2 linked regions of the Stegostoma tigrinum genome follow. The protein of the gene in region 1 interacts with the protein of each later gene in a biochemical or structural test. Links are inferred from orthologs where the notes say so. Each region holds a gene or a part of one and is shown on either strand. Other genes may lie near its edges.

What was found.
Region 2: the proteins of elna (region 1) and protein-lysine 6-oxidase form a complex in vitro, tested with the Homo sapiens proteins (2 studies listed by BioGRID and IntAct). The link is inferred for Stegostoma tigrinum from reciprocal best matches to the Homo sapiens genes ELN and LOX.

Annotation. Positions count from the first base shown.
Region 1 is NC_081380.1:14,391,786-14,395,711, reverse strand, and holds the start of elna (elastin a), read left to right. Parts: upstream 1-1,364; 5' UTR 1,365-1,612; coding exon 1,613-1,676; intron 1,677-3,926. UniProt on the Homo sapiens protein: Major structural protein of tissues such as aorta and nuchal ligament, which must expand rapidly and recover completely.
Region 2 is NC_081356.1:72,578,558-72,582,483, forward strand, and holds the start of protein-lysine 6-oxidase, read left to right. Parts: upstream 1-1,295; 5' UTR 1,296-1,452; exon of another isoform or gene 1,453-1,733; 5' UTR 1,734-1,822; intron 1,823-3,926. UniProt on the Homo sapiens protein: Responsible for the post-translational oxidative deamination of peptidyl lysine residues in precursors to fibrous collagen and elastin. Regulator of Ras expression. May play a role in tumor suppression. Plays a role in the aortic wall architecture.

The sequences.
Region 1 (3,926 bases):
TTGGCGCCAAATCCCTAGTCCCTGATCTGCTGTTGTAATCACACTGTGCATATAACTGGTCAACTTCAGTTTCTGATCAATGGTAACCCCAAGAATGCTCCTTTGGATGAGAGTTATGAATTTGTATCAACATACACTTCCAGCAATTTGTGGTACAAAATATTTTGAACTAACAGATGAAGATAAAAATATTTAAAACAACATAAACTACAAGATGCCCTCCATTAAACTTGAATTGGAAAATTTAATATGTGCATACAGACATTTCTCTCACAGGGTACTTAACAAGGAACCTTCCAATCTCATACATATAAATTGAAAAATCATGTACCAAAAGTTCTGTAATATTGGTAACATACAAAACAAGCTATGCACAGTCTGAACCTATATCCCTGACTGATTAACAAAAGAAAACATATTACTGGCATTTAAAATAAATAATGAAATGTCTCACTTGGCAGTGAGCTGGGTGGACGGCACAGAATCAGCCAACAAAGTAAGTAAAACCCTGTAAAATTGAAAAGGACAGTTTTGACATTAGTAACAGAACTAATCAAAAGTCTGTAAATGGTTCTCAAGCTGTTTGACTGACATCATGCGAGAACTGTTGGCTTGCCCTGCTGCTATGCATACTTCACTTGAAAAATATTCGCTTTTTTCTACGTTTTTACATTAACTTTATTCTTGATTTAGTGTTGTATCTGTCAATTAACTGTGTGTACATATTTACACATCAATGTCTGCAGGCCAGTTTAAATTATAATAAGATAGCAAATTGATGCGTATCTCCCACTTTACTCAGTTATCTATTCAAATCTGTTTGGATTAAGATATCTGCCATGTATGTGAGATATATCTGTGTATGCAAGAGTCCAATGATTGCAATCCACTGACTGAAACTTAAAAATGTTTTCTGTTGCTGAGGCAATTGTAACCTTTGTATATATCTAACATTTTTGCGGATTTTGCAGATTTCCAGAATTTATAGTCCATGTCTCTAATACCTGTTTATGCAAGAGGTCTATATACAAAGTTCATTTGAACTGAATACATATTTTTGCATTATAAGTAGTTAGCAGTGCAAGTAGCCCCTATATAACTAGCCGTCTAAATAAATTGGTATTGGAGTTTCTTACCAAGTACAGGTATAGCTCAGTTTAGTATCAGATCTCTTTAAAAATGCACCTGACTCTGGGCATGTTGGTCGCCTGTTTAGTAGATACAACGTGTAAAAATTAGATTGATACTCAAGCTGCAAATTAACATCTCTCTTCACATACTGGGATCCTTACTGTCTGCAAAATTCGAACTGCCTTATCTGGCTGACTCGCTGTCCTTTTTTTCTAATAAATTCTCAGAGCTCATGCAAACGACCTGGCAGAGAAAATAGACGCAATTGCCGAGATTCTGGCAGGAGTTCTGCAATGTTGGCAGGACTGACCAGGAAAAAAAAGCCGCAGCGGAGAAAAGTCAACTGGCTACAAGGACCGAGTTGGGTCCCTGACTAATTACGTATTGTCCATATCCGTCTCTTACAAGTGGCAATTAGGGTCGAGTGAATAAAAGCGCCTGGACTTAGAGTGAGTTAGTATTTTGTGGAGTGGCTGACAAGATGGCTACGACGCTCTTACAGGGATACCTGCTCATGATCCTCATCAAAACGACTCTGCAAGGAGGTGAGCACGCATAGCGATTGCACTGTCTCTTCGTGATTCTGATTAAATAATACATCGCCGCTAGCAGTGGCGATGTGCCCTACATTTGCTCTGAAATATTAAGGAAGAATGTTCTTTACTTTGAAAGTTATGCGGGCGATCCTTACGCTTCAGGGGAAATTGGATGAGTTTTGAAGACTTCTATCTGTGTTTTCTGCTGAGAAGTCTCCAACACTGACCAAACACGTATTTTCACTACAGTTCAATCGCTTTCGTTTAGAAAAGATTTGCGCTAGAATTCCGATGGGAATTGCAAACTACGTGACTGCAACTTAAGAGTTACAGTCGCAAATGTATGTGACCTGCTTATTCCTTGTACATCTTTGCCCGTTACCGTTTCTTCGTGTAAATTTTTGTGCCTTTCCTTCCCTCCCCTTTTTATTACTATAACTTCTTTACTTCATATTCCTGGTCTGCGGTTTGGTTGGGCATGCCTGCCTTCCACCATCCCACCCCCCACCCCGATCCATAGGTGGGTGCGCGCGCCTTCTTGCCGGGAGCTGTTCGGTATTCCAGGACTGTTGGGAATGAGATTTATGACCAGGGATTGGAGTCGGACTGAAAATCTCTTTAAATATTGAGACTGACGTTGCAGTAACTGCAGCAAACAGATAATTTAAAAATAAATTTTGCCTGAAACGAACAAGTTTTCACACTTTGGTTCACTACATTTCTTATCATACTAGTGAACAATAACAGAGTAGTGGCGTCGCACTGACTTCACAGTTCTAGCAGTTTTTAATTCAATCAGTGTACAGTCTGTGGCCAGATAGGCTGTCAATTTTGTGTCAGAACAAGGAAACCTCTCAATCTCCGACCTGCGAAATGCAAGTCCAACCATGAACCAGATTAGCCCTCGACCCAACTTTAACTGTGCGGTGCACAATACTGCGCTTTTTGGCATTCCGAGTCTTTGAGGTCTCTAATGTGGGCTTCTGCCAATTAGAGCTTTCCATTTAATTCGCTGCTGCATAGGAGCTGGAATTGGCACCTGACTGAGAATCCTAAACATTCACCAAGCATTCGTCAAGCAATGACCCATCCGCTGCAATTTTCCCAAACTGTTGGAAGAATTGATGAAGCGTGCGATAAATCACAAATTATGCACCAATGAAGCTTATTGTGTGAACTTTGTAACCTGTGTGCAATCGGGAAAAACATAATTTGTCTTCAAAGTAAACAGACGAATAAGGAAATGCAGCCCAGAAATATCTGACGGTCCAAGCTGTTGCTATGTTCCTTTTTCTTTGTAAAGAAATTGACTCTAATCTAATTAAGGTAAATGCTGGAGACACTTTATATTGTTAATGTCAGTAGCAGTAAACCGCAGGTTTTGTTAAGCATGAAATAACATTGTTTTAAAATACTCCGATTATACTCAAACCGAAATTCGACTTCCTCGGAAACGTTTACTGTGTGGTGTGGAAAAACTTTTATTTTCTATTTCCTTTCTGCAATAGCCTGCAGGTGATTTGAAAAACTTTCATTTCAGATTTCCAGCTTTGGCGATTTGTAGTTTATTTTAGAGCGAATTGTTTAATTACAGTAAACTGGTATCCCCTCCTCCATTATCAAAACCCTGACTTTTATCCTGAAGTGGAAATATCCCCTCTAGATTTTTCAGTTGCGAAGAGAAATACCTCAACTTAAATACAGAAGTCAGTCTTGAAGAGCTAACCAAACATCTTAAATCGGCATAGGTGTCTTTCATTGGAAATAAAAAAATACTATTTTTGATAACTTTTTTCCTCAAATGCCCATTGCTGTCGTCTCATTACCTGATTGTATTTCAGGACAGGATCGAAACAAGGAAAGATGGCAAATTTTAACCGTAATTTGAAAGTTTCTAAAATTACAAACTGACGGTAGGAATGGGTTCATACATCTTGTGGTTGGAAATATTGTGCCTCTGTTGATTTCTAGGGCCAGTTTTCATTCGCCTCTTTAATAATATGGATTTGATCCAACGCAGCAGCTCAAAATGTAAACACCAATGTCGTGGAAAAAGTGAAGTGGCGTAAATAGTACAGTATCGTCCAAAATAAAAACAAGCTGGTGATTTGTTTAATACATACGTCCACTTGACTTGTTTAATCTCAAACAAAACCGAGAAACATCCACGATCATGCCTGACTTCAGTTGGAAAATCAATTTTCCAACAACTAAGTGTCAATCTTCGTTCCAGTGTTACTAAAGCCACTGCACTATCTC
Region 2 (3,926 bases), on another chromosome or scaffold:
AATACCCTTTAATGTTCCTTTCTAATGAAAACGGTTCCAACTCTTAAACAGAACACAAACATAGGGTCAAATAATAGATGTGTAAGGAAGAAAGAGCTAATATTTCAGGCCAGTGACCTTTCAGAACAGCCATCAATCCAAATGTTAATACAGCTCCCCTTTCTCTAGCCTGCACAGTATTTTGCTTTACTTTTCTTTTGAATTTGTACATGCTGATACCAGGCAGAATCTTAGTGAATCTGTGCCACACAATCATTATCACCATATCATTTTACTATCTATAGAACTCGAAATAGTACACATAGTCCAAATGTAATCTTGCTGAAGTTTTATATACGTTCAAACTACATTTTGATTTTTATATTTAGCACATCTTGCCTGGGAACCCAGTATAATCGCATGTTTACGGCCTTACTCGCGTGCAAATGAAAACCATTTTCTTTTCTGTATCTCTTAGATTTACTCAAACTATAATTGTCCTGCCTACCCAAGTTTACTGATATTGCTTCACTTCTTTCGCCCAATGTTAACGCTGCAATAATAGCCTCTGATACTCTCAATCACAGGATTACAAATCCTACTTGTATTATCTGGTCCCCTTATCTAAACAGTTGGTTGTATACTGAGGATACTAACACACAGTATGTAAATATAGAAGTGCATATGTTTCGTGCACTCTTCCTCACTTGAGTCCAGCAGATTTTGCACAGGGCAATCAACATAAGTGACCAGTGTCTCAATGTACATTTGCTTTCCGCAGAGAGAGAATCTCAGACACCAGGTGAAACAGAACTGCGAAGGGTCTTTTCCAATCCTCTTCACAGTCGATCCAGCCTGCAGTTCACGAATTCCGATCAATCCTGCTTCGCCCACCCGCGCCTGTTTCCCATCTGGGCAGGACCTGGCTACATTATGAAAGAACAGCAGCCACTCACCTCCACGGACCCCCAGGATCGAGTGTTGCCCTCCCAGCACAGTGCCAGCGCCCCGGGAGCGAGGTGGTGACAGGTTATTGAGCAAACCGGCCCTGTTCCCCAACCCCGAGCGTACACCCAAACCTGCCGCCAACTAGAGCCTCCCGTTCCGCATTCGCCCACTGCTTCTATCATGGAGCTTATTCATAAGTATTGACCAGTCCATGTACAGCCGCGTACTCTTCACGCTCAACCACCTCAACACCGACCTCCGGTCGATTGACAGGCCAATCAGCCAATCAGTGACCGAGACCGCCGGCTGCTAGCCAATGGCCACACAAAAAGCGACCAGGGCAGCGTGACAGATCCCGCCCCCGCTCCTTTGTTTGAAGTTCGGAATCGATTATCTCCGTCGTTCCTAACGGTAAACAGTTCCAATCATGGAAAGGAGAGAATCCGAACCCGTGTTCGAACTTCAAACGGGTTCTTTCTGTCATCTCGCCAACGGAATGAGGTTGAATCCTTACCGCCACCGCAGGTGAGCTGTTAGCCGTTATCGTTCGTCCTGGAGATTTCTGTTTCCCACCGCGCGCTGCGCTCGCGATTCCACCGGCCCCCTCCCAGAGTCGAGCCCCGCCCCAACCTCTCGTGCCAGCCCAACCAAGATTTCCTCCAGTCAAGCGGAGAGTTTGCAGCTATGCCGCTTCTCGATCGGCAAAACTTCTTTGCAGAGGCGGGTGATTTCATGCCCAGCAGCAGGCAGGTTCTGAGAAATCATTGTTTCTTGCCTGTCTTTTCGGTTGTGTTTTTTTTCCAAAGAGCTCCGATACACATGAGCAGGATGCACAGGCCCGGATAGAGGCAGGAGCGGTGTAGCGGATCGTTCGTGACTGTTCCTGGAGATGTGGGTAAGCCATTCCCTCCCTCCCCTCCCACCTCTGGAAACTTGCCCGATTTTGTACATGGGGCCCTACTGGCGGCCTCGTTGAGCTCGGAATTTTGATTTGGGAAGACCGCTGGGCTGGCTGCATTGGAGGCAGTAACACAGCAGGGTGGGGGGAGCTGGCCACGGCCATGACAGGGAGCAATACTGGCTCTTCACTCTCTTGGGCAGCGCATGGGGCACAAGAGGAGACGGTGTTAAGACTTCTAGATTTTTGTTCTAAGGGCAGCTGAACCCACAGTAGTCAAGGACCCGGTAAATGGATGATTATTTTCACCCTGTACTCCCCTTCTAATGAGGATCAACATCCAAAAAACCGTGTGAACACAGCAGGCCAAGCAGCATCTCAGGAATGCTCCTGAGATGCTGCTTGGCCTGCTGTGTTCATCCAGCCTCACATTTTATTGTCTTGGAATTCTCCAGCATCTGCAGTTCCCGTTATCTCTGAAGTCCCGTGTGCTTCGTTTAGGGTGTATCACTGAAAATGGCATTAACTGACTAATCTGGAGAACCAGTGCTCCAGGAAGCTGATCATTGAGATTTGTAGTTTCGTTGTGCGTAGCCATTCGGCCCATAATGCCAGTTGCAGCTCTTTAATTGAGAAATTCATCAACTACGTTAATCTCCCACAACATCCCCCCTCGCTCTATCTTATGAACATGTTTTCTTTCCATTTTTTGTCAATTATTTATGAATGTCCTTATTGAAACAATTTGCAACACCTTTTCAGGTAGTTCATACTAGATAGAAACTTGCTGCGTAAAAACAATGTTGTATCGCCTTACTTTGTGTTCTTGTGTCAGTCACGTTTAAATCTGTTCCCTCCAGCAACTGATTGTTTTGGCGCTGGAACCAGCTTCTTTTCATTCAATTATAACCTTTAATGAGTTTGCTCACCTTTATCAAATCTGTGTATGTATTGTTTGATGGAGTGTATTTTTCAGAAACAACTTTGTACAATGTTTTGAAATTTGTTTATCACAATAAAGAATAATCAAGTGCAACACAATTACTTTTGGGAATTTGATTTTAAAGTTTTATTTGGTTTAATAAAAATATTTGCTTTCAGGTGTATATTAAAATGAGCGCCTAAATGATGTTAATATGATGAATGCTGGAATTATGGTTAGGTTATGAATACTAGACTAATAATAAAAAAAAATTCATTTTCTTCTATTCAGCTGTGTTTGCATGTCTGTGTTTTCTCTCTGGAACTGTAAATCCTGACCAGGAGTGCTGATTTATGATTAACTGAATAGTTCAAATTTTATTTTTATTGCACGTACTTCTAGGATTTTTAGTTAAGCTAGGGAGACTGCATTCTGTTTGCAATTAGAGACATTGGTTTATGTTGACTAAATAAGTCAAATTTTGTTTATATTTAAGGGTTTTGGAAGCTTTCTTTAATGTTTTCTCATTAAAGTTAAAAATTTCCATCAGTTTTTCTATTTTAAAACATCAGTGATCTTGGTCATGCTATTGAACTGGATGGAGTTTATTTACTTAATATTAATAAAATCAAAAGTGTATGGCTTAAAATCTAATAATAAATGTGATAACAATATCCATTTATATTACCTTTAATACTGAACATTTCTCAAAACGCTTGACAGAACTAGAACATGCATGCAAACCTAAAGAATGCAACACCAGTTTGAAGAGCTTAGTCAACTTAATGTGTATTTGAAGAAAAATGTTGGTACATCAACTTCAATATAGATGATTATGAGATGTATACTTTGATAATTGGAATAAGAGCACATACATTTTCGAAAATAAGTATCCAACTCGAGTAGAAGACCAAAGAGATCTAAGGTTTACAGATGTAGAAAGTAGCTACACCAGTTAACAAGACCATAAAAAACTAACAATGCTCTAGCTTATTTTCTAGATGGAGGGAATTCAAAACAAAGAATTTGCAAGTAAAATGACAAAATATGTGATTCAACCCACTGGCTCCATGCTGGCAGGAAAATGTTATCAAATATAATCCCATCTTCCATTTCTTGGGCTGCAGCCCCAGTAGGTTATAACACCTCAAATGCATTGCCAAATATTTTTAAAATGCA